2 linked regions of the Arabidopsis thaliana genome follow. The protein of the gene in region 1 interacts with the protein of each later gene in a pairwise test. Each region holds a gene or a part of one and is shown in the gene's direction. Other genes may lie near its edges.

Region 1 (16,211 bases):
TAAAACCTACACTTAAGGGAGTGCTAAGCCGAGCTCCGCGCTCGCACCGTTTCGACGGAATCAATAGTTTCGACAAACTTTGGTTTCGTCTGACAACCGATTAAGCCGAGCTCCGCGCTCGCACCGTTTTGACGGAATCAATAGTTTCGACAACTTTGGTTTCGTCGGACGACAGATTAAGCCGAGCTCCGCGCTCGCACCGTTTTGACGAAATCAATAGTTTCGACAACTTTGGTTTCGTCGGACGACAGATTAAGCCGAGCTCCGCGCTCGCACCGCTTCGACGAAATCAATAGTTTCGACAACTTTGGTTTCGTCGGACGACAGATTAAGCCGAGCTCCCCGCTCGCACCGCTTCGACGGAATCAATAGTTTCGACAACTTTGGTTTCGTCGGACGACAGATTAAGCCGAGCTCCGCGCTCGCACCGTTTTGACGGAATCTAGTTTCGACAACTTTGGTTTCGTCGGACGAGAGATTAAGCCGAGCTCCACGCTCGCACCGTTACGACGGAATCAATAGTTTCGACAACTTTGGTTTCGTCGGACGACAGATTAAGCCGAGCTCCGCGCTCGTACCGTTTTGACGGAATCAATAGTTTCGACAACTTTGGTTTCGTCGGACGACAGATTAAGCCGAGCTCCCCGCTCGCACCGCTTCGACGGAATCAATAGTTTCGACAACTTTGGTTTCGTCGGACGACAGATTAAGCCGAGCTCCGCGCTCGCACCGTTTTGACGGAATCAATAGTTTCGACAACTTTGGTTTCGTCGGACGAGAGATTAAGCCGAGCTCCACGCTCGCACCGTTACGACGGAATCAATAGTTTCGACAACTTTGGTTTTGTCGGACGACAGATTAAGCCGAGCTCCGCGCTCGTACCGTTACGTTGGAATCAATAGTTTCGACGAACTTTGGTTTCGTCAGAATAATCCCAAAGTTTTGTGATCGAATTCATTACTTTCGCTTCACACCGAACCGGGGCATTCCCCTAAACTGAATTCCCAGGAATAACGAAACGTCCTAAAGGTTTGAAACCGAACTCATCTCGTTCGCTTCAAAAACGACGCATCATTCGCAATGAGCACCGAGTTCACCGTTCGCACGTTCGTGTCAACGCCTGCACACTCAACCGCCACGCCGATTCGCAAAAATTCTCAAATGATCGAGTTCCACACCGGCTTTGTTTTTCAAAAAAAAAAGGGGGGGGTATATATACACATATATATATATATATATATGTATGCCAAACCTACACCTCCGTAATCGCTATACAAATCATCTCGACGCCGTTACCCCCCGAAGAATTCACCGTACAAGCTCGATGCTTACACCATTTCGACGAACTAAAGCTGCCTACGATTGCACTTGCACATTCGAATCACAGCAGAAGATCGATCATGCGCTCATCTTAAATGACGCACCGATAAAGTCGTACTCGCCCATCTCAACCCTTGAACGAAACGCACGAATAACGAAGGTTCTACGATCTCAGCCGTCGACGCCCGTGGTCTCATCTTGCACTACGACCTGATCAATGATTCGTTCCCCGACTCGACCTTCTTGACCATCTCGTCCATCTGCGTGATCGTCATCTTCCTTGCTACTCTGAAGCAAAGCAGAGTAACAAAGTTCAGACCTGAGCTCGGTAAATATAGTATAAACGCCAAATTCTCCGACCATGAGATGATGAATATTGAAGGTTTTCACCTCGTCCTTCAACTCCTCAACATCCGCTTCTAATCTCGACATCGTCTCATCCGACTTTATCTCCACCTCGCCGCCTTCGATCGACGCCTCGAGAGTCTTGATGTTTCCATACACTTGATTGAATTGAAAAACTTTGGCTCCGCCACCTTCGTATCGTCAATATAGGTCTTGATCCGATCCAATCGCTTCTCGATGAGCTCCGCCATCTTATCAACCGCCGACCTTTGAACGAAGTTGTCATACTCCAACCGACGCTCCCAAAGCTCTTTTCTCCCTGAAAAAGCACGTTCAACTAAATTATTATACTTTCCACTCATCTTTTCAACCTCGGCTCAAGATTTTGTCTAGATCGGCCAACGCTTGAGCAGTCTTGCCTCTCAAACAGCGAGCTCAGCACAAACACGAGTTAAAAGCAAAAGGAACGCCTCCTTCAAACGAAACGATAACTCCAATAATGATCATTGGCACGCAAAACGCATCGGACGAGTTCGGAACACTCGCTCGTTGTTCATCACGATTAACGACCCTCGTCTCTTCCCTCTCCCCCTCAAAGAACCACTTTCGAATGACTCGAACATCCCAACTTGAACACCAGACGACCACTTTGATCCAGGAGGCTCTTCAGAAATGTGACGGTCACGCAACACTCGAGGCGGCCCCTTTTAACCTTCCTTGTCGTCTCGCTTGACTATCACCGAGACAGCACATCGTCGTGATAGCAGCCTATACTTTGAAAGCCATGCGACGCTTCGATCTCCGAACCTTGAGAAAATTGAAAGACAAACCAAACATTGCGTCTTCCCCATGCGCGACTTTTTACTTCCTTCGATTGAGTTTCGAGCGCCTGAAATCCTGATCCACGTCATCAACGATGCATCAGGATTGGGGGGCAACTGTTAGGGGTCGGATTGGGCCTACTTGGCCCAATGCCCAAACCCAAGTCAAAACCCCAAAATAAGTTCCAAGGTTCAGCTATAAAACGAATAAACTCTATTCTTCCTCGGATATCAAGATCGTTTTCCGGCCTCAAGCTCGTCTTTCATCTACAATCGGCTCGTTCTTTTTCCATTTATGCTTGTTGAAGAAATCATCCTTTGTAATCCGTCCAATTCGCCTAAGTCGCGGGCTCGTCATTAATAGAAAGATTCTTCTTCCTTCCCTAGAGATCCCATTTTCGTACTTGTGTGATTCGTGCATCAACAGTTCCATGTTTTGATTGACGATTTCCATGTTTTGCTTACCGATTTGCATCTATAGATGCTTCTCAAAGACAATCTCGCTAGAATCTCCGTCAATATAGCCTCCGGGAGATGTATTGGTCTTTCCATTCGGACTTTGGGATTAGGGTTTCTAGGATTAGGGTCTGGAGAAAGATCATATATAATACAAAACGTAACATCTAAGTTAAGATTCCTAATTCAAAGACTCGGTTAAGTCTAACCGGAACATGAAACACAATTTAGCAACTTCCAAGAAGAGAGAATATAAATGGGAAAAAATGAAATTTCATTCACTCATGAGACATGAGCAGATTTCGTTTTTTTACAGGGAAAATGTAAAGTAAACTAACAGAAGACACAACACACTAGTACCTTGAATCAAGAACATGTTTCTCCCGAAACAGAACATGAACTTGACAAAGGAGAACACATTCAGAGGAACCAAACTCTATTGGAACCTACAAAACATAAAAAAAAAAAAAAACATTGTTCCTAAATAGAAGAAAGATCTTCGTAAATGGTCTTAATACCAGGTCTCTCAGAAACTGATCTTATACACCTCAAAGCAATCCCAAGAACTTCTTTCATGCCTTTTTCTGTTACCGGATCACTTCCCATCTCCTGAGTCAATACCGAATCAAAGCATTCTGCACCACGCCCTTCTGCAACACGTAACCTAACCCAATCGGTTAGATCAACACCTTCTTGCTCACCTGTGATTACATCTCCTGCACATCTTCCGGTTAGGATCTCAAGAAGTATCACACCAAACGCATATACATCTGATTTGAAAGAAGGTAATGGTTTTCTTGAAGCTGCTAGCTCGGGAGCTCGGTAACCGAGGATTCCTGCGTCTAGAATCTGTTCGACTGTGCCTGCTTGTGTCATGAGACGGTGGAGGCAGTAATCTGCCACACGCGCGTTTAGCTCTGCTCCATCTAAGAGAATGTTTGTTGCCTTGAGGTTACCGTGTGGAACAGCTCTGTCGAAATGGAGGTAGTTTAGACCACGTGCCACATCAACTGCGATTTTCAACCGTTGGGTCCAGGCTAAGGGAGGGCCTTTCCTGCCCGGTCGATCTGTCATCAAACAAGAACCGTAAGCTTGATGAAAAATACTGCACATACATATAATACTTAGAGAAGTTTATTGAAAGGAGCATTACCGTAAAGGAAGCTGGCAAGGCTTCCAGGCGATATATAATCTGAAAGAATAAGCTTCTCGTGTTGCGTTGGACCCCAATAGTACCCTCGGAGAGTCACAACATTAGGATGTCTAATGTTAGAAAATTTCTTCACCTCTTTAGCAAACTCCTTTCTCTGCTTTGCCACTCCTTCTCTTAGCCATTTCACTGTTAGAAACACTCCATTATCCAGCGTTGCCCTGTAAGAAGTGCCGTGGCTACTTCTTCCCAGAACTTCAGCTGGTGCCCTTGATAATTCCTCTGGAGTCAACTTAATTGAATCATCCAGAAAATGCAGCTCTCCCACAAGTCTATCTGGTGACCTCACATCAAGCCGTGCTAGTTGCTGATCAGCTGGGAATGAATCTCCTGAGCCAGGTGACCAAGACAAATTGCTGGTCTTAGAAGGAGAGAAGCCGGTTGCAACAGCTAGTTTTTCATCTGGACTGAGGATTTCGGATGATGAGCCTTTTCTTGAAGCAACCAGATCCTCAGCAGAGACAACCATACCACCTCCGCTGCCTGAGGGGATAGTTTGAGCCCGCCTATTAGTTTCTTTACCAGTAATACTACGTTCTTCGCGCCTTCTTGATTTGCAGATGCAGAAAAGGAGGATAGCCACAAGGATGAGAATAATTAGAGCAACAGCGCAAGAAACTATTATGACAACCTTAACAAGTTTGTTCGTGGATTTATTCTTGGAAGCTTCTGATGCACTTGATCCAGGGGACCCAGCAGGCAAGACGAGCTTGCTGTTTCCAGGATAAAAGGAAGGCGGAGGGAAGTTCTTCAGATTCTCTGGCACAGTCCCTGATAGATCATTATATGACACGTTGAAGGCCATAATGTTGCTAGATAAGTTGCTTGGGAGTGGTCCAGTGAAATGATTCTGGGATACGTCTAATGAGCTTAGAGAGACAATGTCATTCATGGAGCTAGGCAAAGAGCCAGACAAATTATTTGCTGCGAGATTCAGCACTTGAAGATTGGTTAAAGACCCGAATACACCAGGAAGATCCCCGTCAAACCGGTTGTGAGAAAGATCAAGAAGACGGATTCTGGAACCAGAAGAAGGCAGGGGTCCGATGTTACCTGTCATGCCATTGTTTTGAAGGTGGATTTCCTCCAAAGTGGGCATGGATAGTAACGCACCTGGAATTGGCCCTTCTAAGCTGTTAGAACTTATATCAAGTACCCGAAGCTTCGGATAGTGAGTTGGAATCCGTTCTGGAAGTGAGCCTGTGAGCTTATTGTAGGAAAGATTAAGATGATTTGCTCGCAGAAGCTGGGGAGTTGCGTCTGGGAACGACCCAGTGAAATGGTTCTGGCTTAGATCAAGGTACTCTATATTCTCCCATTTTGACCATCTTGTCAGATTTCCTTCAAACTGGTTGTTTGAGAGATCGAGTAAAACACATCCCCCAGTCAAGAGAGGAAGCTCCCCGGTCAGTGAATTTGAAGAAAGATCAAGGGTGTGAAGAGTAGTTGACATGATAGAACTTACTGGCCCTGAAACACAAAAGGAAAACCAATAAAAAAATATTAGATTTCTAGTTTTCTTGGTGCCACCGTTAACATATAACAATTTCCACTATGTAGAAGATAAAGCCAAGAGCATACCTGAGAGATTGTTGCCACTTAAATCCAGCGTTGTTAAAAGCAAAGAGTCACCTTTTAACAAATTATTGGGAAGGGAACCTGAGAATCTGTTGTTGCTAAGCTTGAGAACTTCAAGATCATAGACATAATTGAAACCTGGTAATTCTCCAGATAACATGTTGTAGCTAAGATCCAAGACTTTTAAGTTCTGAAACAACTGAAACCCACTAGTCAATGAACCTTCAAGCTGATTATGGCTGAGATTCAAGTGCTTGATACTCTCAGAAACACCAGGTAACAGTTTCCCAGACGTCGTCACCAATCTGTTTCCACTGATATCGACATAGCTCGCATTCGTTAAAAGGAAAAACTCCCCATCAAGATTACCATCAATTGAATTACCATGCAAATCAAGCACTTCAAGACTTGAAATCAACTCAAAGCCCCTTGGCATTTTCCCCGTGAATCCATTAGAAGACAGATTCAAGTACAGCAGATCGTTCAGCCTTGTCAAGGACTTTGGCAAAGGTCCAGATAAGGAGTTGCTACTCATATCCAACGACTGAAGTGAAATCAAACCACCCATAGACTCTGGAATCTCACCAGAAAAGTTGTTACCAGATAAAGAAAGATTCCTCAAGCTTACTGATCTACCAATCTCTTTAGGCAATGAAGAAGAGAACAGATTATCTGATAAATCCAGGAACTGGAGGCTTTTGAAACTGCCTAAATCATTTGGCAACACACCAGAAAGGGAATTGTTTGACATAGATAGCTTGACAAGCTTTGTCAAGTTGGAGAACAGACTGAAATCAGCATCAGCAGTCAAACCCAAATTATCCAAAACAACACCAGCCACATTACCGCCATTGCAGACAATACCATTCCATGAAGAAGGACAACCATTGAAGTCAATAGACTCATCGTTCCATGAATTAAGGACAAACCCTGTAGGGTCATGTTTGATGCCTTTCTTGAATTCAAGCAATGCCATGATGTCCTGTGATGGAAGTTGCCCCATTGCAGATAGAAAAAACATGGAGAGTAACAAAATCCTAGAAAGATTCATCCTTCCTTGACTTCAAATCTTTTCCCCCAAAAAGCTACAGTTTTTGAAGAATCCCAACAACTTTTCCAGCTCACCAACGCAGAAAATTCATGGAACCCCAAGTAAATCTGACATAAAACATAATGAAATAAGACAAAACCCATCAATGTTACCAAAAAAAAGTTTAAATCTTTCTGCAAAAATCAACAATACCAGAAATTTCACTCTGATAAAAAAAAAAACAGAAGCTAAAGAAAGAAACTTTACCTAAGATGAACAAATCTTCTGAGAAACCCCAATCAAACAAAATGCAGTAATGCTACTGAGTGAGAAGAGACAATCTTCACTCAAAGGGAATCAGCTGAAAAAAACATTAAATGAACAAATGGGCTATTCAATATTTGGGTCCCATTCCGAGATCTAACCTAACTCCAAAGCAAAGAGATAAATGAAAAGTGAGGATTTTTAAACTTACGGGGATGAAAAAAGCTTCTCACTGCAAGAACAATGTCGACAGAGTTGAAGAAGAAGGAAGACAAAAACTTTAAAGCAGAATCATTTTGTTCATTAGCTCATGAACTGCACGGGGTTTTGGATTAAGCTCAACAGTGTTGTAGACTGAGTCACTGAGCTAACTGAGGGAAATCTTTGTGGGTCACTTTAAAAATTAAAAACCCTTAAAAGATTGTCACTGTTTAAGAACAAAAGAAAGAAGCCAAAACAAAATTAAAGATAGAGAAAATGTTTTGCTAGTTTTCACGTTCGACAGTGACGAACGACAAGGACCTTGTAAAAGGGTAAGTCTTGAAGCGTGTGAACGGACACCAAATCAAAAACCCTAAATAAAAAGTAAAATAGCAAGAAATTATTTTCATGGGTTCACGAGAAGAAAATTATATATTAATTTACTTTTTCATAGTCTTTTCAGTGAGGAAAGATTTAAAATATAGTTTAATTACCCGCCTGGAATGGCCCGGGAAAGGAATCCAAAAAAAATGAAAAAAGCTACTTACACTAATGTTTTTAGTGAGTGTGACCATGGTGGACGTGAAAGGGTTTATCCAATATGGTTATGAGTCTATGTCCTTGCCTTTAGTGAGAGAGATTTACAGCATTGGGAAAATAAGCGAAAATTGCGCAGTGTTCTAATAAATTTTGGTAGAAACTTGCAATAAATGAATTTACATAAATAAATAATAGGGAAAATAAAAAGAGTAATGAGAGTTCGGAGTGAATGTTATTTACACCAAAATACAGATATTAAAAGCTTGCAAGGAAAATGTGTAGTAAATGAAACATGATTTTTTGAACAATCCAGAAAAAATAGTAATGAATATTCGGACAAATAAATATTTTTGAAGTTGATACCACATTAATTAGTAGGAAAATGTAGAAGCGAAATAAATACCGCGTAGGAAAATGGGTCCCACATGCTGACTACGTTGACTAGGGAAGACCGGAAGAGACAAGGGCATCAGACCAATTATTTGGGTTCTACTGATAATGTTGAAAGTAAATGTCCGGGTTCAGAATAAATTAATAGTTAAGGGGTCATAATTCAAAAAACAAAAATCTGAGTGTTTTGATGAGATTACACACTTACGTCTAAAACTCACTCTCATTTGCTAATTGTTAACTTGCTCTGAGTTTGAAGAAATTCATCAATGGCGATTCGCAGAGCGCAAACTCTACTTTGTCTTTCTAAATTCAAAACCAATTTCGTGTCTGGGTCGCTCCACCGGTTCTCTTCTTCGTCTCAAAATTCAAATCAATTCCAGGTTCTGCTTTTTAAATTGTCTTCATGATCAGAAAACATAATCTCTTTTCCTCATAAGTCACCTAGAATTTTATTGAAACGTTCTAAAACATGATCCTTAAGGTAGTTGGAATAAAAGATCTTAACTTTTGTAATCTCGAGCATAGTTAATAAGAATTTTAGTGGCCAAATTGCTTATTGATCTTGACCACTTATCTAAATTCATCAGTTCTGCAAAAAAAGTTGTCTGGATTAGATTTTTAACAGCAAAATTTGTCTGATTCAGTACCCAAAATTTATGTAAATGAAGTCTCATTTTTGCTGTTTTGTCAGAATGTTGGTTTCATAGGACTTGGAAATATGGGATTCAGAATGGTGAATAATCTAATTAGAGCTGGATATAAAGTTACCGTTCATGACATGTAATGTACTTTGAGTGCGTTTTGCTGCCTATCAATTTTCATATTTGGTTAATGTTGATTCCTTTGATTAACTTTCTTGTGCATATACTTGTGTTTGAATTTTCAGAAACCGTGATGTTATGAAAATGTTCACTGAAATGGGAGTCTCTTCTAGAGAAACTCCTTATGAAGTTGCACAAGATAGCGAAGTTGTGATTACAATGTTGCCTTCATCATCTCATGTAAGTTATTTACCTTTAGCAATAGTTTTATATGAAAACAGTTTGAAAGATCGTCCTGTTAGCTGTATGATTAGCTGCACCTAGTCTACGAGATAGTATTGTTGTTTACTCCTGGTACTGAAAGAATGTTAATCTTCAATTGATTGGATGATTTTTATGAAGGAAAAAAAATTGTGATTGATGTAGGTGATGGATGTGTACACAGGAACAAATGGGTTGCTTCTTGGAGAAAATGATATAAGACCTGCTTTGTTTATAGATTCATCCACTATTGATCCACAAACAACTCGAAAAATCTCACTTGCTGTTTCTAATTGTAATTTGAAAGAAAAGAGAGGTAAAGCTTAGATAGGATTTGGAAGGAAGTTAGTTTCTTCTTATGAGTTAACAACAGCTTCATTTTGTTCTTCTTGTGAACAAGTCGAGATTGTTTCATTTTCACTAGTTTCAAGCATCTTTGATGTAGATAATTGGGAAAAGCCAGTCATGTTGGATGCTCCCGTCTCTGGAGGTGTTCTTGCTGCAGAAGCTGGTACACTTACTTTCATGGTATGTTGACGACTCTCTTATCTTCTACATTATTTGAATCACATCCTTTATATAACATCAAGTTTGAAGATTATGTGTGCTTGTATACCTACAAGAGCACAATGGCATTGATACAACTGCACGTTCTGTAGGTTGGAGGTCCCGAAGATGCTTACTTAGCCGCTAGACCAATACTTCAGTCAATGGGCAGAACCTCCATCTACTGTGGTGGTTCAGGAAATGGATCTGTAAGTTCGCTTTATACCATGTTTCCGTAACTCTGTTACAGTATCTCTATTATCTTGATCTTTGGTATATTTGTCTCTACAATTCTTAAGGATAATAGACTGAGAAACGACATGTTTTGTTTTAAACTTAGGCCGCAAAGATTTGTAACAATCTGGCAATGGCCGTGAGTATGCTCGGCACTTCAGAAGCCTTAGCTCTTGGTCAGTCACTTGGAATATCTGCCAGTACTTTAACAGAAGTCTTAAACACATCTAGTGGCCGTTGTTGGAGCAGGTAAGTAAATGAAATGACCTCTTCAAATTTATAATCGTCTTCTCATCAAGAGCAAGCACACCAAATTCTTAACTTCCTTTCCTTATATTATGATAACCGCAGTGACGCATACAATCCAGTTCCAGGAGTGATGAAAGGTGTGCCATCTTCAAGGGATTACAATGGCGGTTTCGCCTCCAAACTTATGGTCAGTTTCTTAAGAAATCTCTATATCATTGATCCTGTAAAATGTCTCTAAAGCACATTTCTTTTGTTACACAAGTCTTTCATGTATATAGTGTATTGGAAATGCAGGCTAAAGACCTAAACCTCGCAGCAGCCTCAGCTGAAGAAGTTGGACACAAAAGCCCATTGATATCCAAAGCACAAGAAATGTGAGTACTTCAGTAGTCTTTTCTCCTAGAAGCTCTATTCCTTATGAGTTGTTGTGAACAAAGAAGGCTTGTGAATGAAACTTTATGGAAACAACGTAGAAATTTCTTATGAAGCAAAAAGCACACACATCAAGCTGAAGATTTTGTTTTTTTGTTTTTGCAGTTACAAGAAGATGTGCGAGGAAGGACATGAAACGAAGGACTTCTCTTGTGTTTTCAGACACTTTTACAATGGGAAAGATGAGGTCTGAGACAATCTTAACAACGACCCTGCAAAATAACCGGTTTCTTTGTGCATTTAGATTGTTGATTTTCATTGCTAAGAATAATAAAAGTCTTGGAAAGGCTGTGATGTTAATAAGCGATGTGAATTGTAATTAGTTTGAGAACATCTCTCTGGTGTTGAACATTACTCTTGGAATCACCAATCAATTAGTTATGAGGTCAGCGAAGAATAAAGCATGAAGGATCCTATAGAGAGGATTAAACAAAGCTCAGAGTCAAAGTTCTAAACTTTTCTTTTACCCGGAAAAAAGTCAACAACAATTCAAACAATAGTCACCTATGGTGTAATTACATTTCTTAACAGTGTTACTCGCTAACCAATCCGTAAATATACCATTTTCCTTATCTATATTCGTATTTAATTTGATTATTAATCATTCTTGGCTATTTACCTAAAGTTAATGAAGATTCACCTTCGTCACCAATGAGAGAACCAAACCATTTTTGCAGAATCTCCGGTACAATTACGGAAACAGTTGTTTGTGTTAATATCTACAATGTGAAATGACTACAACCACCCTCGCTTTCTTCAGCACACCGCTACATTTGAAATCTCCCAACTTTTTTCATTCTCTCTGTTGCTCAAACTAGTTTCCCTCAACACTCAAAGGTACGTCTTTGATCCTTCTTCTTGTGTTTCGCTTCGTTACTTATGGGTTCTTTCTGAAATTCGACTTCATCACACCATCATTTCTGTTTATGACAATTCGTTCCTCGTAATGTTACTTCAACCTCTACCTGTTTTTCTGCTTCATTCGCGCGAAAAATCGTTGCTTTTGACTCATGTTCCTCTGTTTCATCTTACTGTTGTCTGTCTTAAAACCTGAAGTCTCCGAATTTAGGTCATCATCTTGTATCTCTTTCAAAAACCCTAGTTTTTTGGGGTTCTGTGCAGTGAGCAGCCGTACAGTTTGCACTGAAGTTACCATCTTTCATGATCTTTGAAGTATCTATATGAATCATAGATAGTTCTTTTGTTTGTCTCAGTGTAGAAAGAAGCCTCAGTGAGTTTGTAATGGCGGGTGAGGAGAAGCAGACTCTTACTCCAAAGGAGATGATACTTCAGAAGTTTGGTGTTAAAGCAATTTACAGAATTGAGGAAGTTCATGTTTCTTCGAATGATTGCCTCTATCGTTGCCACTTGCAGCTACCAGAATTTTCTGTTGTATCAAATGTCTTCAAGAGAAAAAAGGATTCCGAACAATCTGCTGCTGAATTGGCTCTCGAGAAGGTATACTTTTGACACATCTCTCTGCTCTTATTGTTTAGTAGACTTCTTAACACTGTTTATGTGAAAAAGTACAATACTATTCATGTTGCAGCTAGGAATTCAGTCTCAGGATGATGATGATGTTGATATAACTGTGGATGAAGCTTGGAATAATATCGTTGAACGCATTAAGTATATATTTTCTGATGAGGTTAGTACAGGTCATAAGCAAGTCCATAGTCCAAAAGTTAATTTGGTTTTTCTCTCTATTGGCATTAACGTTTAAGTTGTTGCCATTGCAGTTTCTTTCAGTTGATCATCCTCTAGGAGGTCACCTAAGGGCGGCATTGCAAAGGGATGGCGAACGTTGCGGATCACTTCCTGTTTCTGTCATTGCTACATTTGATGCAAAGATTAACAGTCGCTGTAAAGTGATTGATCCTTCTGTAGAATCAGATCCTATCTTGCTCATGTCCTATGTCATGAAGGCTGCTGCAAAGTTGCCGGACTACATTGTTGTATCTCCGCATGTCGATTCACTCCGAAGGAAAAAACCGTATCCTCCAGCAACTATTAAAGCACTGGCTACTACTCATGTGAAAAGCATAAAAGCTGAGGCTGTGCATTTACAATGTACCGTTGGCGGTGAAGAGGTTGTTAAGCCAGTCACTCTTGATATTTCATCAGGTCGGTATTACTTGGATATTATTGCTGACAAGCTTGGATTGAAGGATGGCAGCCAAGTGATGATATCAAGGTGAGTATTTTGTCTTCTCTGTCAATAAATGGAGCTTTCTCAGTTTTAATCTTACTAAAGCTAATTTTGGATTTTCATCAGGACTATTGGCAAAACTTCCTCTGGCTATGAGTGTAGAGTATATGCTGCCATTCCTAAGTTGAAGTCTTCCGATAATTCATGGAAAGCCCGTGAAAAACGTCCAATCATTGAATCATCACATCTTGAAAAGTCTCGGAATGCAAAAGCAAGTTTTGTTTGTGGTGTAGATATTCACGGTGATGCGATCGTGGCATCTGTTGGTTACCCATGGAGGTCCCATGATCTTGAACATGATGGTGTAACCTTAAAGTCGTTTTACAAGTCTCTTACCTCTACCAACTTTTGCTCCGTTTTATGTTTTGTTTTTCCTTTGTATATCTTTTGGTCTAGTGCTGAAGCACTAAATATCTCACCAGTTTTTTGGCCTCTGTAGGATATGTTGCGGTATTTCTCCTAATGGAATCTATAAATTATCCCGAGAAGCGATAATAGCGGCGCAGTTACCTTTTTCATTCACTACAAAGTCTACTTGGAGAGGTCCATTCCCCAGGGAGATTCTCTGCATGTTCTGCCGCCAGCAACAACTGGTAGAGCCCATTTTTACTATATCTACTGCTCCTGTGAAACCAATGTCTTGCATATTAAGATCCTACCAGAAGTTGAAAGACTCAGAATGTGATGAGAAAGATTCAGAATGTGATGAGAAAGACTCAGAATGTGATGATAGCGAATATCAGTATACGAGCAAGGGAAAAGAGGAGATACCAGAATCAGGGACTGGATATAGATGTGAAGTGAAAATTCTCTCAAAGTCCCAGGATTTGGTTTTAGATTGCTCGTCCAGAAAGTTCTATGAGAAGGAAAACCATGCTATTCAAAATGCTTCGTTGAATGCCCTCTCATGGTTAAGTAGGCTTTTCGACGAGGGGGATGGGGACCCACTGCAAATATGTTATACGGATGATCACCTGGATGCGGTATTTCAACAGAGGATCTTGATGAAAGAGGCTGTTCCAAAGGGACATTTCCGAAATAGAGACGAAATGAATCAATATGAGGATCAAGTTCGTATTCAAACCATAACAAAGGGTTCCTTGGTTAGCATATGCTATTCTGTGTATTTGGATGTAGATGCTGATTTTTCAAAGGATGGTAAATCTAAAAAAGAACTCATCGAAAGCAATGAAGAGATAGAGTTTGAGGTGGGGAATGGTTCTATGAATCCACATCTTGAAGCAGTTGTTACTCAACTGGTTGTGGGCCAATATGCTCGTTTTTTAACTAATGCGCCTGCTGAAGACTTGTTTGTGACTGCTGCCACTGGTACCCAGAGAGATCGTTCACTTTTATCAGGTAATGCTTCTAATTTGTATATGAAATTCTTAACATTTGTGGTTAGAAAAGGAAAAAACTCGATGACATTTGTTTATTACAAATGCAACCGGCTAGCCTTTACCAGCGGACTTAGGACTAAAATTCACTATCTAGTTGAATCTAGAATTTAGTTACTTTGTTGCAAACTCTTCTGTTGCAATTGGTCCTATGAGTTTAATGAGTTCTGTACTATTTTGGTGAAGGCAGCATCACTCTTAAAATTTATTTGTTGTTTTGGTTCTTATGAAGTGTTTCTGTGCTTTTTCAAAGGTTTTCTGCTTTGAACAGCGCATGAACAAGTAACAAACATATACCTCTGACTAATATAAGAGATTTGCAGCCAAGCTACGGTAGTTCTGATGATGAGTTGCTTTGGTTTTAATGCACAGATGTCGCAGGTTTTGAATACTGTGTACGTTTGTTGGGAGTGAAAGGGCCAACAGAAAAACGAATTGAGGCGGATTTTTTCAAACCTTCACTTTCAAAACAGCGTCTTGAATATGTAGTGAAACATATTAAAGAATCGTCAGCTTCTACTCTGGTAGGCTCTTTGTGTTTCTTAATTAATCATTTTGTCTTTCTGCTTATTGTGATTCCAAGTTCTTTCTGGGAATTTTTTGTTAATACTTCAGCCTCTATACTTGTTGCAGGTTGATTTTGGATGTGGATCTGGAAGTTTACTAGCATCTATACTTGACTGTCCAACTTCACTTCAAACCATTGCTGGCGTTGACATCTCACATAAGAGTCTTACCCGTGCTGCTAAGGTATGTGAAATCTGACACCACTTTGTTATATTCCACTTGTAGACTTAACCTGATGAGAGTCATGCATCTTAAAAACTTGATATATGTTTGATCAAAACTGCATTTACACAAGTCATAGGTCGTGTAACATGTTTCTCCAACGTGGTTGTATTTTATTATCATTGGAAAGAGATGGTTGATTGAAGATTGTTGGTTTACATTGATATTTTTGCATGTTATAATTTCAGATTGCTACATTCAAAAATAAACAAGGGAGCTTGCAACCTCAAATCTACTTTACTCCATGATGGTTCCATCCTTGAGTTTGATTCCAGGCTGCATGACATTGACATCGGCACTTGCTTAGAGGTTCGATTCTATTTTCTTGCTTCATTTCTTCATCAGCAGCTTCTCTAATATTCAATATAATCCGTTTTGAATCTTTAGGTCATTGAACACATGGAGGAGGATCAAGCCAGTCAATTCGGGAAAACAGTTCTAAGCTTGTTTCGCCCGAAACTTCTGATTGTCTCCACACCAAACATCGAGTACAACACAAATTTCCATAAGTCTGGTCCTCCAAACCACCCAAAAAACAGATCCATGTCTTCACAGCTACCAAAATTCAGGAACCAAGACCACAAGTTTGAATGGACAAGGAAACAGTTTAAGCAGTGGGCATCTAAACTCGCTAAACGCCACAACTACAGCGTCTATTTTAGCGGTGTTGGTGGGTCTGGTAAAGGAGACCCCGGGTTTGCTTCTCAAATTGTTGTTTTTAGACGGATATCTTTGTCCAACATAGTGGAGAAGGTCTCAGAAGGCTCGATGCAGCCTTATAAAATCATATGGAAATGGTCAAAGAGGAAATGGAGAGAAAAAGACTAATCTTTGATAAGTTATTACTTGTCCTAGTTCTACTATATTATTTGGAAAGTACATTTTAAATGTAACCTTAATTTTTGTAATTAATTACATGACAATGCCATTAGAAAAATTTAATCAAAAACAAAAATCTTTAATGACGTCATTAAGATTACCAAAATCATTTAACAACAATATTCATCTCTTAATTATAAGGTTTATTGGATCTAAAGACGGGTCATCAAAGATTTCCTAAACTGAAGCAAAATACACTAAATATTCAAATATCTATCTGTTACCAAATTATAAACAAATAAGTTCGTAAAACAATTTAATATTTTATATACGAAATCAATTAAATCTTAATCACA
Region 2 (15,970 bases), 2.7 Mb from region 1:
GATGCGGTGATTCAGGGATTCCCTGATTTCCCTCCAGTGGATTATGGGATGAGAAGAGCCTTCAGTGAAAGCGATATACAGGTTAGAACTGAAATTATTGATATTACTCTTGTGATCATTGAACTCAACCTATACAAGGGTTTGCAAGAATTTAGACTGTGCTCATTCTTGTCACATCATCGATATTTCAGAGAAAGTTGTGACATTTCCCAAACTCAAATGAATATATATAGATATGATGTTGGCAAAAGTTCTCATGTGTATGTTCATCACTTGTGATCTTTTTGGTCTATGACAGACACTGGGGACTGGAAATACGGGTCTTGTTCAGTCTCAGTTGGATCGAATAATCATAAGTTGCACCTCTGAGGACCGCCGTGAGAAGCTTTCTCGATACAGGAACAAGAAGAGCAAGCGAAATTTCGGGCGTAAAATCAAGGTAAAGACCCGAAAAAACAGTTTATATAACACTAAACTCTACTCTTTCTTCTCAAACCCGCTTTGTTGGAAACTGAGATCTGGTTTGTTTCGGTATGTACCGTATGGTTGCAGTATGCTTGTAGGAAGGCACTTGCAGACAGTCAACCGAGGATCCGAGGAAGGTTTGCAAAAACAGAGGAGATGCAGAAATGATGAGGACTAGTTAGGTCTGATGCGGTGTTAAGAATATAATCCCACCCACCTCTCGTTTTGTATATAAGGGGGTTTGTCTGAATAAGCCTAGTAAGGAGTAAGGATTAGGAAGAAAAAACAAGTTGTAGTAGTCAGTCACTCAAGTAATGATGCTTATATATGTTAGATCTTGTGAAGTTATGTATCTCTAAAAGTTTATATATAGAAGCTGTTTAATATTCCTCTCTAATGGTTTGACTTCACCGTATATATTATCAGTATTCTTAGTTTTGCATCAGTTGACATAAGTAGCTTTTGACTTTTGATGAATGACTGTACATGGGGATCACCTTTGGAAAACATGAAAAATGAAACTTTAGCCAAAATCTGATTTAGTATGGTCTTAGTTCCACACATACTTTCCCATTTGTATATGGTTGTGGATGCAACAGACCTGTTGACCATGTTGAGATATATTTGTAATTAATTGAAAAGTTCTAACATATCAGAACACGAAGCTGAACTTTTTCAAAATTCTAGGTTTTGCAATCCTCCTCAAATAATTTGGTGAACTTTATTAATGCTTTGCGATGAAGAATCGATGGTGACCTGTATCATTCTTTGCGAGTATGTTTTGGACTTTTGGGAGCCCTAACCTTAAATTACCATTTCCAATGAGAAAAGCTTAAACCTTGTTTAAGTAAATCCAACGGAACTAGTAATGTTTACTGATAAATAAATCAACCCAGAGACAAACCCCTAACGAACGTGATTGGTGGTCTGTCTCCTTGTTAAATTTTTTGTTTGTAGTTGAGAAAATCACAGAGCTTCTCGGTTAGTTCTAAACCGGAAAACCCCAGAAAGAAATTGTATTATTACGTAAATACCCTTAGAAGAATTGTGAAAAAATTGGTGGGAAACTTTTCAATAATATTTTTGTTTCCATCTTGTAGCTGCCTCTTTCCATCACCGGTGCATATAGAAACAGAGAAACAAATATTTAAAATTTTACATCTACAAAGAGACGACAACTCTCCTGTGTAACAATGTAAGAAGAGCGTTTTCATGGGTTGTTGTTATTTCTTCTAATGTTGTAGTGACTAGTTGTTGTAATCATAACGAAAAACAAACGTAAGAAGTACACTGCCGTAGCCGTACCATGTAAGTTCCATTACAAGCTTCCATAGATTTTCAAACCTCATTAACAAAACATGTATCTGAATTTTCATATCAAATTAAGAAGAGAAACAATTAAATTACAAGAAGAGACACACGATCTTTGAATTGGTTCCGAGAAGAGAAAGAAAACGAGGAAGAAGAAGAAAAAGCGTGTGATGCGCAGGTTAGCTTAATCACAGTAATGTGCACATTCACGCTATTCAGAAGGTGACGCCGATCCAAACGACCCACTTCTTCTGCGTCTTCTCTCTCTTCACCTCTCTGTCTCGCCTTTCTCTCTCTAAAAGAAAAAAATTTCTTACCCAGAACAAATAAAATTTGCCGAAATTTTCAGTCTTTCGATTTAAAACAATTCCTTGACAACATTTCTTCCGGTTTTATCATCCAAATCATAAGAAAGGACGCATTTTTATTTATAAAAATTGGGTCTTTTTTAATCTCTTCTGGAATTTTAAGAGAGAGAGATATAGAGCGAGAGAAGTTAGGAACAGATCTCTTTCTCTTTCTCTTTCACTTTCTCTTTCGCTCATTCGTGCCAAAAGTCTCTTCTTCCATCAAATTTTGTAGCTTTCCTTGTTTGATAGAACGGGTACGCGATTTTCAGTTCTGGGTCAGAGGAATACGGAGGACTTCTCCTCTCCGGAGCATCAGAAATTGAGGTCTAGATTAGGGTTTGTGAGAAAATTCGAGATTTTGGTTGTTGATTCTTAATTGGAACAGTGATGCTCTGAGATTGCTTTTCTGAAATTTGAAGAAGAATGATTATCAAACGGAAATTTAAAACCCAGATACCGAGTTTGGAACGGTGCAAACTCGGTAATGAGTCAAGGAAGAAGAAGAGAAAGTTGAACTTGGGAGGAGGTGGTTACTACTATCCTCTCAATCTTCTCGGAGAAATCGCCGCCGGGATTGTTCCAGGTAATGGACGCAATGGATTCTCTGCTTCCTGGTGCACTGAAGTTACAAAACCTGTTGAGGTGGAAGAGTCATTGTCTAAGAGAAGATCTGATTCCGGTACTGTTAGAGATTCTCCTCCGGCGGAAGTCTCACGTCCACCGCTTGTTCGGACATCTAGGGGAAGAATTCAGGTGCTTCCTTCTCGATTCAATGATTCGGTGCTTGATAATTGGAGGAAGGATAGTAAAAGTGATTGTGATTTGGAGGAAGAAGAAATAGAATGCAGGAATGAGAAAGTTGTTAGTTTTCGGGTTCCTAAAGCTACTAATTTGAAAAGCAAGGAACTTGATAGGAAGAGTAAGTATAGTGCATTGTGTAAAGAAGAAAGGTTTCACGAGCAACATAATGATGAGGCTCGTGCTCGTGTTGATGAGAAGCTTCCGAATAAAAAGGGTACTTTTGGGCCAGAGAACTTCTATTCAGGTGACTTGGTTTGGGCAAAGTCTGGGAGAAATGAGCCGTTTTGGCCGGCTATTGTTATCGATCCAATGACACAAGCACCCGAGCTTGTTTTGCGTTCTTGTATACCCGATGCAGCCTGTGTTGTGTTCTTTGGTCACTCTGGGAACGAGAATGAAAGGGTACGAAGAGACTAATGGCTTTCCAAATATGGAATCTGGCCTTCTTTTAAGTATTCTATTTCTGACTGTTGTTTAATGTAAGCAGGACTATGCATGGGTGAGGAGAGGGATGATCTTCCCTTTTGTGGACTATGTTGCCAGGTGGGTCTCTTTATATAATCAAAAGAAAAGGTCTTAAATGTGGATTAGTGCTTAATTAGCTACTTATTCAGGTTCCAGGAACAGCCTGAACTGCAAGGGTGCAAGCCTGGGAATTTTCAGATGGCATTGGAGGAAGCATTTTTGGCAGATCAGGGATTCACGGAGAAGTTGATGCATGATATTCACTTGGCTGCTGGGAACTCGACTTTTGACGATTCTTTCTACAGATGGATTCAAGAAACTGCGGTCTCAAATCAGGAGCTCAATAACAATGCTCCAAGACAGGCAAGTGTCTCTATGATTTTGGTCCATTTTTATATGACTTTTTTTTCTTATATCTTTTTATGTAAATCTCCTCCAATTTGGGTAATATATCTAATTAACATTATGCTTTGTAGGGGCTGTTAAAGAAACACAGAAATCCACTAGCATGTGCAGGATGTGAAACAGTCATTTCTTTTGAGATGGCAAAAAAAATGAAAGATCTGATTCCTGGAGATCAATTGTTGTGTAAACCATGTTCAAGGGTATGTAGGATCCCTTGTTCTGTGATTATTCTTAGTTTAGTTTGAAGTGATGCAGAAACGGTTGCATACGTGTAAGCCTATTTTGTTGTTGTTGCAGTTAACAAAATCAAAACACATTTGTGGTATATGCAAGAAGATAAGGAATCATTTGGACAATAAAAGCTGGGTACGAAAGTAAAAACATTAGGTTCTATAGTGGTATAGCTTAAGGTTTTGGTTGTTTTCTATTTTGACTTTTTGATATCCGTGTGGCATATTAGGTGCGCTGTGATGGTTGTAAAGTCCGGATACACGCAGAATGTGACCAAATATCAGATAGGCATTTGAAGGTATGTTAATTTTGGATTTCATCAAGGTTACCCTATTATCATCGGCTTGTGTGTGTTGAGATCGAGCTCATTTTATGATCTGAAGGATTTGCGGGAAACAGATTACTACTGTCCTACTTGCAGAGCAAAATTTAACTTTGACCTATCAGATTCAGAAAAACAAAACTCAAAGTCAAAGTAGGCCTCTTCGTCTTAACTTTTATTATTGTTTTCTCAACGGCTTCCTTTTGATTGCCAAATGTCTAAATTTGGGAGTTTTCTGGTACAGAGTTGCGAAAGGCGATGGTCAGATGGTTCTTCCTGACAAGGTTATTGTTGTATGCGCTGGAGTAGAAGGAGTTTATTTCCCGAGGCTCCATTTGTAAGCAGATACCAATTTACATTTCCCCAACTTCTCGCGCTGGGTTTTCTTCTAAAACTAATTCAAAGCAAGATGATATTGAGATTTACCTTACCTAGATTTTCATGTTTCTTTGCTGAAAACTTTCCAGAGTCTTCTTACTCCATCTTGTTATTTACAGAGTGGTATGTAAATGTGGCTCCTGTGGACCTAAAAAGAAAGCCCTTAGCGAATGGGAAAGGCATACCGGATCAAAGTCAAAAAATTGGAAGACCAGTGTGAAAGTCAAAAGCTCGAAGCTGGCACTAGAAGATTGGGTTTGTACAATTACTCTTCTGGTTTCTTTCAGAGATATTGGCGTCTTTCTTTTGAGTTTGATCTGACTTACTCAAAAGGAAACTGACATATATACCTGCCCTACCATTCACTTACTCTGCAGATGATGAACTTAGCAGAGTTACATGCAAATGCTACTGCAGCTAAAGTTCCTAAACGACCTTCCATAAAGCAGAGAAAGCAGAGATTGCTTGCTTTTCTATCAGGTAGAAAAGGAAATGGAATCCTGTAACATGTTGCAGTGTTTTGAGTGTTTTTGTGATGCTTTTGTTGGCTTTTCCTTTCGTTGTTGGCAGAGACATATGAGCCGGTCAATGCGAAGTGGACAACAGAACGATGTGCAGTTTGCAGATGGGTTGAAGATTGGGACTACAACAAGATTATTATCTGCAACAGGTGCTTTTTAATCTTTTTTTGCTCTAGTTTTTTTTCTTAAAACCATGATTTCATCTACCTAAATAATGGGACTTGCCGTTAGACTTATATTTTTGTGCCCAATCTTTGGCTCACGTGGAGTGTGTAAGATAGGGTTTTCTTGCTAGTTTATGTGGATAAGATATTTGAGCCAGAGAGCTTTCCATTTTAACTATCATGTCATGTCCTTTGGCAAACAGAAGATAGTTGTTTTCTGTGGATCACTTTATGGCGACTTGTGAAGTATCATCCATTATCATTGTTTCATAAGCAACTTAGATAAATGTTTCTTTCATTTTCTTGTCAGATGCCAAATAGCAGTGCATCAGGAATGCTATGGCGCTAGACATGTTCGTGATTTCACCTCATGGGTCTGTAAAGCATGCGAGAGACCAGATATCAAGCGGGAGTGTTGCCTCTGCCCTGTAAAAGGTGGCTTTATAAAGTATATTCAGCTTTTTCACATAAACATATGGCACCACTGCCTATTAACTATATCCATTGGCTCCGCTATGTTGTCACTGATGATAGGAGGTGCATTGAAGCCAACTGATGTGGAAACGTTGTGGGTTCATGTGACATGTGCTTGGTTTCAGCCTGAAGTATGTTTTGCAAGTGAGGAAAAAATGGAACCTGCAGTTGGGATTTTGAGTATTCCATCAACTAATTTTGTGAAGGTAAATTTAATATTAACTTATTGTCTTTAATTTTGGACCTTTCCATAACTGTCTGCGACCAAAGCTAAATTGCATGAAATCTTCTTCGTTTTGATGGATTTCAGATATGTGTAATATGCAAACAAATACATGGCTCGTGTACTCAGTGTTGCAAGTGTTCTACATACTATCATGCCATGTGTGCCTCCCGAGCTGGTTATAGAATGGAGGTATGCTTACTGTTTGACTGTTTCTGATCTTTCTTCATGAGATCAGACGACACTGACTTTTTCTATACATGCTTTTGAACTAACTGGAACGATCTTTTTTATATAGTCGTATAAAGTGAAACTGGTTTCCGATAGATAATGTGTTTTTAATCTTTACTTAAAGGAACTTGAGTTTTTTTTTTCCTTTGCAATTTATTATCTTACTCCATTTAAATAGGCATATTTCCATGCATTTTGTATGTAGTTGCACTGCTTGGAGAAAAATGGTCAGCAGATAACAAAGATGGTGTCCTATTGTGCTTATCACAGGTGAAATTTCTCAGAACTCTGCTTAAAGAATTTTTGGTGTTACGATGTTGGTTTATGATTTATAAGTTTTATCTATTGTTTTTGGTGTGTAGGGCTCCCAACCCAGATAACGTGTTAATTATACAAACTCCTTCAGGAGCCTTCTCTGCAAAGAGTCTTGTCCAAAACAAGAAGAAAGGTGGTTCCAGGCTTATTTCATTAATCAGAGAAGACGATGAAGCACCTGCAGAGAATACCATTACATGTGATCCATTTTCTGCTGCTCGTTGTCGAGTATTTAAAAGAAAGATCAATAGCAAGAAGGTAATATTGGGTCTTATCCACAAAAAGTCTGTATGTTTCGTTGCACATCTCCTTTGTCCAGTAGGCTGATCTTTGTTTTGTAGAGGATTGAAGAAGAAGCCATTCCTCACCACACAAGGGGACCACGCCATCATGCATCAGCAGCAATCCAAACTTTAAACACATTCAGAGTAAGAAAGTCTCCATGCAGTTCTTCTACTCCGTTTCTTACTATTATTTTTTGGATCTGACATTTCTGGGTTGTATTATGTGTAGCATGTGCCAGAAGAACCCAAATCGTTTTCTTCTTTCAGGGAACGACTTCACCACTTGCAGGCAAGAATTCTCTGATGTTTGAACGAGATTGGAATGTTCAGGTTTTATTTTTTGATATTATCGGCTGTAACATGTGTATGTTTAATGTAACAGAGGACAGAAATGGATCGGGTCTGCTTTGGGCGATCTGGAATTCATGGATGGGGTCTTTTTGCAAGAAGAAATATCCAAGAAGGAGAAATGGTATGTCAGCAGACCCATTTGTGATATTGTGTTTGGTCTATTTGGGATGAGGGGAGTGTTTATTGTCGAGAGGTGCTATTGTATTTCAGGTTCTTGAATACAGAGGGGAACAGGTGAGAGGTAGCATTGCAGACTTGAGAGAAGCACGTTATCGCAGAGTAGGAAAGGATTGCTATGTGAGTTGAAAAAGTTTCCATTTTATCTTCACAAATTGTCTCTTCTCTCTCTATCTCTCTTAACCAAAAGAAGGATTTATGTTGCAGCTTTTCAAGATCAGTGAAGAAGTAGTGGTTGATGCTACAGATAAAGGGAATATAGCTCGGCTCATCAATCATTCGGTAAGCTGCTTGGCATGGACTTTTTACGTACAAGAAATTTGACAGACTGTTAAAGCCTAAATCAAAATACGTGGTGTGTAGTGTACACCAAACTGCTATGCGAGGATTATGAGTGTAGGAGATGAGGAAAGCAGGATTGTCCTGATAGCCAAGGCCAATGTAGCTGTGGGAGAGGAGTTAACGTACACAACGCATTTCTATATATACCATTCTTCAATCTAAAGCTGATTGATTGTCATAGTTTAAGAAATGTTGTGTGGTGTTTTGGCAGGTATGATTACTTATTTGATCCAGACGAGGCAGAGGAACTCAAGGTGCCATGCTTATGTAAAGCCCCTAACTGCAGGAAATTCATGAATTAGAATAGAAAGGTATAGATCCTCTAAGTTTACTTCACAGGCTACAACACCAAGAAGAAAAGGCCAAAGCAAGATTGTCTCTTTTTGCTCCAAAAACAATAGATTTATAGGTAGAGAGAAAAGCTAAGTGATCCAAGTCTGATCTCTTCTGCCTCTCTGTATAGACAAACTCGTTTGTGTCACCATTATCCTCAAAAGAATTCAATTTCATTCATTTTGTTCATTTCAACGAGACTTGAGCAGAAAACTTGGGATAATTCCAACTGTTGTGACCGTTTTACCCTATAACCATCGGTTTACTACGGTTATACCGCGAAGGTGATGAGTCAATTCAATTGGGAATTGATTTTCCTTTCGCGCCGGTTTATGAATCGTGCTTTCGTCAAGTGCCATGTCAGACGAATTGTAGTTTGCTGCTGATAAAAGATCTCGTAATGGTTTTCTTAAAACACTTTTAAGCGTTTTTGACGGCCCAATTGATGCGAATATGGATTGACTCTTATCTATACTTCAGATATGTTCAAAGCCACACAAGGTAAATTGCATAACGGATAACAATTCCCATAAGAAAAAATGTTTCGGTGTCAAACTGTATATGAGCAATTCTGAAACATTCTAAAGATTTTGTGGTTATGTGTTAAACTTAAAGCATTTGATAGAGAGATATTTTTCAAAGAAATAGGAAAAAATAATGTTACAATCCTCCACATTAATGTTTACAATCCGTCCATCTGTACTTGACATGTCGGATCATAATCCAAGATAATGGGAATACAGATATAAGTTAAAAATGAATTCACTCATAGAAACTTGGAAGGCTATATTCGTCAATATAAAAGAGCATCCTTTAAATAGCTGCACACTGGTACAGTGGTTCTACTATTGAGTGAAAAAAAAAAAAAACTAAAGGCACGAATAATTTTTGTCTAATCAAAATTATTTAAATTGCTGCTATTTAAGATAACGATGAACGGTGACGAAACAAAGAAGGTGGAGAGCGAGTACATCAAGAAACACCATAGACACGAGCTTGTAGAGTCTCAATGTAGCTCTACGCTCGTTAAGCACATCAAAGCTCCTCTGCATCTCGTAAGCTTTGCTTTGCTCTGTTTTTCAAGTGTTAAAGATAACGATTTTTGAGATGTTAAATGATTTGTTTTGTTTGGAAAAGGTGTGGTCAATTGTGAGGAGATTCGATGAACCACAAAAATACAAACCATTTATCAGTAGGTGTGTGGTACAAGGTAAGAAGCTGGAGGTTGGTAGCGTAAGAGAAGTGGATTTGAAATCTGGATTACCAGCTACTAAAAGCACTGAGGTATTAGAGATTCTTGACGACAATGAGCATATTCTCGGCATCAGAATAGTTGGTGGTGATCATAGACTCAAGGTAAATTGAAATTTCCTTAAATGTACCATTCATTCCGACAAGATTATTGTTTTTTTTAGAGCTTAATTTGTTATTTGTCCAATCAGAATTATTCTTCAACCATTTCGTTACATTCGGAGACGATAGACGGAAAAACAGGGACATTGGCTATAGAATCGTTCGTGGTGGATGTGCCGGAAGGTAACACAAAGGAGGAGACATGCTTCTTCGTGGAGGCTTTGATTCAATGCAATCTCAATTCTTTAGCAGATGTTACCGAGCGTCTACAAGCAGAATCTATGGAGAAGAAGATATGAGATGTGACTTGAGAATCTTTTCATTCGGAAAAGAAGGAAAAAGACCAAAGAAGAGAAATAACTCTTCCCTTTTATAGCAATGTCTATGTTTTTTCTTCTTCTATTTCCATTTTCTGAATGTTTGTATATTATTGGAAGTTTGTAACGAAATGATTTCGAATAGCTGTCAAACGAGAAATATAAATTCAAATTTGTAAGTGTTTATATGAAATGCTTTTTTATTTTTAACATTTCCACATGAAAATATAAATAACATATCATGACACATGCAAAATCATATTTATGAAAGTTTTTTCAACTCTCTCCATTTTTTCGACATATCAGCATTAGATAGAGTGACACTTATCACATCAACATATGAATTACATTTCTTATTTAATTTAATGTATTTAAGAATTTATAATCATGCATTAATTCTTTCTAAATTTTTTGACATGTTTGAACTTATTAATTAAATAATTTCAATTTAATTAGGTACAAAGTATATCAAACTCACATAAATAACTTATTTAAATTAAATTATATAAATCGTATAAACTTATGTATAAACATAAAATTAATAGAATTTTAATGAACTTTTAGATTTGATTAAAGTATAAAAATTAAATAATATGATATAAGAATTTATTTCATGTTTTCATATACTAATATATATATATATATATATATATATAAAAGATTAATAACAATTGATATTAGTTAAATTTACGGTTTAGTTTAAGGTAAACCCAAGATGCTCTCATCTGGAATTCTGTTATGATCTGTACGTCCTCAAAGTTCCAGAGATGTTGAGAAAGATCAAACATCAGCAGCGTCAGAGGCTTTTTCTCTGGAGAGGTGATGTTGAATGGCTCTATGCGCTGCTCGGAGAGCAAAAGAGTCTTGAAGAAGACTCTAGCAAATCCATATTGGCATCTAAGCTTGATCTTTGTGTTCCTGTTATGAAACACAGAATCTAGACTGAGACTGAAGTTGGATACCTCAGCTTTGGGATGGAGAATACCGGAACTCTTGGCCGGAGTAAGAGGATGGAAAGCATGCTGAAGATGAGCAAGAGCGTTCCAAGAAAGACTATGACGAAGAAAACAAATCAGAAATATACTAAGTATGAGTTGTTTCAAAGAACGTAGTAATGGTTTATAATAATATTAACAATAGAATAAAATAAATAGTAATGGTTTAAGAAAATATTAATAATAGTGAGCAAAAGCTAAGCAAAATATAAGCAAAACATAATAACATAGTCAAAATAATATGGAAATGACAAGTATATAAATTATATGTTAAAAGTTAAGAAATTGACTTGGAGGTTTGTGTTGGGATTTTCCCTTAACTTAAATAAAGGTTTTAAATGTGAACAAAAAAAGTTTGAAGTTTTAGTTGGGAAAATGTTTTGATTTGGAGGTTTGTTTTGGAATTTTTTCACTTACCTAAAAAGATTTTGGTTATTATTAACATAAAATTCTACTAATAACAATTGATATGCTTCTTCGTGTTAAAAACAAAAAAAAAACAATTGATATGCTTCTTCTTTTTTTGTGCACCCAATAAATATGAATTAAATAAGCATTTTTAATAGATTTATCTCTTGATAGGGTATCCATCTAAACAAATACAAAAAAGAATACATTTAACCAAAATGCTTATCTAATGTATATTTAAATGTAAAACTTTATTGTATTTGTTAATTTAGCAAAAGATAAAATGTCTAATTGCTAAATCATATTTACAAAATATAATATCTGTTAATTAAATCATGATTCAGTTGTTTGGGCTGTTAATTTTGTTTTAATCCGTCTTTGGGCTTGACCCTTCTGTATTTGCCTATTGGGCTTTATGAATGTTATGAATGAAAATGAATAGTCACAAAACAAAAGAAAAAAAACAGAATTTGAGTCGGTACACAACTGTTAACGAGGTGTACTTGGTGGAATCATAGACACGTGTCTTGACACTCTTAAGGCCTCTTCACCACCAAATTACTTCCCTAACAAAAGAATTATTATTATTGTGAAGCCCCAAAAGATCGAACATTCTAATTCAATGGCCTACTTGCTGACCAAGCAAAAAGGACCGGCTCCGTTTTCACCTAATTCCGAGCTTCACAACGTGCCTTCCATTGGTTGAATATTCAACTGGTTTAACCAAACCGAAGTTACACATACGATTTGAGTCGGTACACAAATATTACGAGACGTACTTTGTGGACAGTTTGACACGTGTATCGCCACTCTTTATCCCTCTTCACCAGTCACCACTCACCACCAACTTAAAAATAAAATAAAAAGAGCATATATTGTGGAGCCCCTTACATGATCGAAAATTCTCGTTCAAAAGCATTCGTTAAGACCGTGTGTTGTGTGTCGTTTTTTGTCGACGAAAATTAGACCGGCTCTGTTTTTATTGGCTCGTTTCGATTGAAAGCGTGGCTATAATTGGTTTAACCAAACCGAAGTCGACGTCTCGGTTTGTTCGGTTAAGATTAAGCCTTGTAGAACATTCCAAAACGCCGCGTCAAAGCTTTTAGGGTTTGATTCTGCTGTGTGGCTACCCACTCAAGTCTCCAGTGTTCCTTTGTGGCTCTGGTTTGCCCTATTCTTCTCTTCCCCCTCTCTCTCTCTCTCTCTCTCTTGTTTTCTTTTTCCCTCTTCTCCAAGGAATCTGGAAAAAATTAAACCTTTTTTCTAAATCCCTGGAAATCAGAAAACTTCCTATTGAGAAACCATAGATTCGATCCAAGCCTTTGATTGTATCAAAATCTCTGCTTCACCAAGAATTTGGGTTGATACAGAAGAAAAAAGTTAAATGGTTGAGGCAGAGCGCGCGGAGAATAGTTGGATTGCTTCGGAAACGTCTCCGTCGTCGTCTCCGGTGGTAATAGAAAGCAGTGATTTTTCGATAACTGATGGAATGAGAGATGTGAGCGGATTTGGTATAGCTTCTCGACCTCAGTTGGACAAGGGTTTGTCGGAAAACAATATAGGGTTCACGGAAAGAGTTTTCTCTGCCGCCGGAGCTGCGGTTTTGTCCGCCGTTACTCTAAATCCTCTTGACGTTGTCAAGGTAGGAGCTTTCTATTGTTGTCTTGATTCATCTGGGAAATTATATCTTCTTACCGGCGAAGATCTAATGTTTCTGTTGTGATTTTGTTTATCAGACTCGATTGCAAGCTCAAGCCGCCGGAATGTCGTACTCTCACCCACTCAGTAACTCCATTGGACGCATGGCATTTTTTGGCCCAAACATGGTATTGTCTCTGAAATTTTTATTTTGTATGAGTGTTGTTTTAAAGGTGAATACTTTCTACATTTTCACTACTCAGTTATGTAATCAATACGGTTTCGGTTCAGATGTTTGCAGACTTGAGATGTTCTCCTTCATGTGCACGCGCTGGTGTTGAAGGTACTGTTTCTATTTGCCCACCGGATTGTTTCCAGTACAAAGGAACATTTGATGTCTTCACCAAGATCATACGACAGGTGAGCATCTCTTTTCATCTTGTTGAATGTCTCGCAGTGTTAAGAAGATGATGATAAGTAGTTGTTTGAGAGGTTTTGTTTTTTGTATGTGGCATGCTTTTTAGCTAGAAGCTTACTATTTCTCTATATCCTAACGCAAGAACTGATGCAGGAGGGTCTGGGACGCCTTTGGAGAGGGACTAATGCTGGTCTTGCCCTAGCTGTGCCCATGGTATGCTCTTTTGCTTACATTTACGGGATTCTTTTGTTTGGATAGACTATGGATTAGTAAACTCTCAAGTTTTGCACAGGTTGGGATATATCTCCCATTCTATGATATGTTCCGCAACCGGTTGGAAGAATTATCTCGGGAGAAAGCTCCTGCTATGACATTTTGTGTGCCTACTGTGGCAGGGTCTTTAGCGCGGTCCTTAGCTTGTACAGTCTGCTATCCTATTGATCTTGCAAGAACGCGTATGCAGGTATTGGCTTGTACTTCTTCTGCGTGTGGTATTCTTGTAACTCTAGATGAGTGTTATGCTTTTCAACGAGATCTTTCTTTATGGGTAGTACTCTTTCTGTGACTCGCTATTCATATTGTATTTACTGTTTTCTCTAAGTAGGCATTCAAAGAAGCAAAAGCCGGTGTGAAGCCTCCGGGAGTTTTTAAAACTCTAGTTGGTGTTTTCTCTGAAGTCAGGACAGCAAATAACCTTGAAAGTAGCTGTAAGTTGCTTCTTCCTTCTTCTCAAGCAACAGAAGTGACTATTAATATCCCGAATTTGTAACTCTCCAACGCATGTATAATCAAGTAGAGCATACCACTTAATTAGCAATCACAACCCAAGATGCATGCGTGTGGACATTGACACCAAGAGCCAAGGTTTTCTTTTATTTAGTCTTTGATATACATCTTTCTTGGGACAGTGCACAACTATCGTGGTCTCTGGAGAGGCTTGGGTGCACAGCTTGCCCGTGATGTTCCATTCTCAGCAATCTGCTGGTCGACCCTCGAGCCAGTAAGATCTTTAACATGTTTAAGCGTTTTACGATGCAGAAGGTTTATTTTAAGGCAGTTTTGCCAAATACAGTAAGTGAATTGCTTTGACCTTCCCTTATGATACAGATAAAAAAGAGGCTCCTTGGAGTTGCGGGCAATGATACAAATCTTGTTGGTGTTTTCGGTGCAACCTTTTCTGCTGGATTTATAGCTGGAAGTATCGCTGCTGCTGCTACTTGTCCTCTTGACGTTGCAAGAACAAGAAGACAGATAGAGGTTTGTTTGCTTTCCTCCAGAAACATGTTTGTTTACTTGTGTCACCATCTCATGTTTCTCCCTTCCATTAATTCAGAAGGACCCTGGTAGGGCATTGATGATGACGACACGACAGACACTAATAGAGGTTTGGAGGTATGTATATGCATATTTGAAAGATTCCATTTTTCATTTGTTAAAAGCTCTATGTTTGTTTTGAAACAAAACATAACAAGAAATACTTGCACACACAGGGATGGAGGGATGAGAGGACTGTTCATGGGAATGGGTCCACGAGTGGCACGTGCAGGACCATCGGTAGGGATAGTGGTTTCCTTCTACGAAGTGGTCAAGTATGTTCTGCATCGCCATGCTTCATCATGACCCTGCAAAGTCACTAATCTCCTAAACATGGATCTGTGGATACGGCTTTAGGTTGTAGCTTCTTTTTTCAAGTTAACAGAATAAGTTAAACAGGCTCAATGCTCCAGAAACCCGAGTTTCCTCTGTTTATGAGCCTTAATTTTGTCCAGTTATTAAATACCGGCTGTTTTTAATGTTTAATCCGGTTTATGTCGGCCCGATCGTACTTCAACATAGGTTGTCTTCTCAACTTAGATTCTTATCATCAAAAAGTATCCATGAGAGCCTTCTCAAATATGAAAAGCAAAACGCACTATTACGATTTCCTTAATTGTAACCTGAGGAGGCGACGATGTGTAAAACGCCATTCATATTGTCCCGCTTTAGTGATGAATTATAAGTCTTCGTTTGTCGAAAATTAACGAATGTTTTTCCACGTAAAAATTGTTGACGATGGCATTGACTTTTCTCCGACACTGACCTATTTTGTATTTTCTAATAGATTTCTTCGACCTTTCTATTATTAGTCCTTTCAGATATCAACCGACAAACACTTAATAAAGAAAAGGTTTTGTCAACGTTAAAATAGGAGACTTCTAATACCTTTGATGCATAAAACTAGAACATGATTAAAGAGTTAGAACATAGTTGAGACAAAAAGAAGTAGGAAAAAAAATAGTAACACATCTCAAACAGTAACAACATTTTAACTAATTAATAATGATGTTCTAATTTTAAAATTTTGGCAGCGACCTACAATGCTGCAAACCACTGAGGATTCGATAAATATTTACGCACTACCATAGTGAAGACATTTCTGAATTTGATTTTTTTTTATATTGTCATCTGACAACAATTACTATGTTGGATAAGAGCAAGGAAAAAATATGTAATCTTGCATCTAAAGTTTGTATAACCAAACAAAACACTAAGCTTTAGTATTTCAAACCTTTTTATGCCACTTTGTAAATGAATATTACTTTCTCAGAATTGAGAAACACCTCCAATGTAATTATCTGTTATAGTTTACAAAGAAAAGTTATTATAGAGTCCTCTTGCATACATGTCTACGAAAGGTAAAATTCTTTTTCTATATATA

The links.
Region 2: the proteins of AT4G20930 (region 1) and PYL10 interact in binary tests that used the Arabidopsis thaliana proteins (3 or more experiments, as listed by UniProt).

The regions. Positions count from the first base shown.
Region 1 is NC_003075.7:11,193,250-11,209,460, reverse strand, and holds AT4G20930 (6-phosphogluconate dehydrogenase family protein), read left to right. Parts: upstream 1-8,354; 5' UTR 8,355-8,424; coding exon 8,425-8,538; intron 8,539-8,849; coding exon 8,850-8,938; intron 8,939-9,044; coding exon 9,045-9,159; intron 9,160-9,345; coding exon 9,346-9,496; intron 9,497-9,625; coding exon 9,626-9,708; intron 9,709-9,839; coding exon 9,840-9,935; intron 9,936-10,066; coding exon 10,067-10,209; intron 10,210-10,311; coding exon 10,312-10,396; intron 10,397-10,503; coding exon 10,504-10,583; intron 10,584-10,746; coding exon 10,747-10,834; 3' UTR 10,835-11,210; downstream 11,211-16,211. Other genes in the region: AT4G20947 (putative RNA-binding protein), read right to left, coding at 1,492-1,752; GHR1 (Leucine-rich receptor-like protein kinase family protein), read right to left, coding at 3,423-4,009, 4,096-5,622, 5,734-6,733; AT4G20920 (double-stranded RNA-binding domain (DsRBD)-containing protein), read left to right, coding at 11,884-12,099, 12,191-12,289, 12,381-12,835, 12,917-13,177, 13,290-14,209, 14,620-14,771, 14,881-14,997, 15,225-15,284.
Region 2 is NC_003075.7:13,892,145-13,908,114, forward strand, and holds PYL10 (PYR1-like 10), read left to right. Parts: upstream 1-8,997; 5' UTR 8,998-9,075; coding exon 9,076-9,198; intron 9,199-9,280; coding exon 9,281-9,499; intron 9,500-9,585; coding exon 9,586-9,795; 3' UTR 9,796-9,856; downstream 9,857-15,970. Other genes in the region: AT4G27900 (CCT motif family protein), read left to right, coding at 1-81, 299-439, 553-633; SDG16 (SET domain protein 16), read left to right, coding at 2,550-3,329, 3,415-3,470, 3,542-3,755, 3,869-3,997, 4,095-4,163, 4,258-4,326, 4,412-4,503, 4,595-4,687 and 15 more; MTM1 (manganese tracking factor for mitochondrial SOD2), read left to right, coding at 12,601-12,858, 12,953-13,042, 13,146-13,274, 13,426-13,485, 13,565-13,735, 13,877-13,979, 14,181-14,272, 14,380-14,529 and 2 more. UniProt on the Arabidopsis thaliana protein: Receptor for abscisic acid (ABA) required for ABA-mediated responses such as stomatal closure and germination inhibition.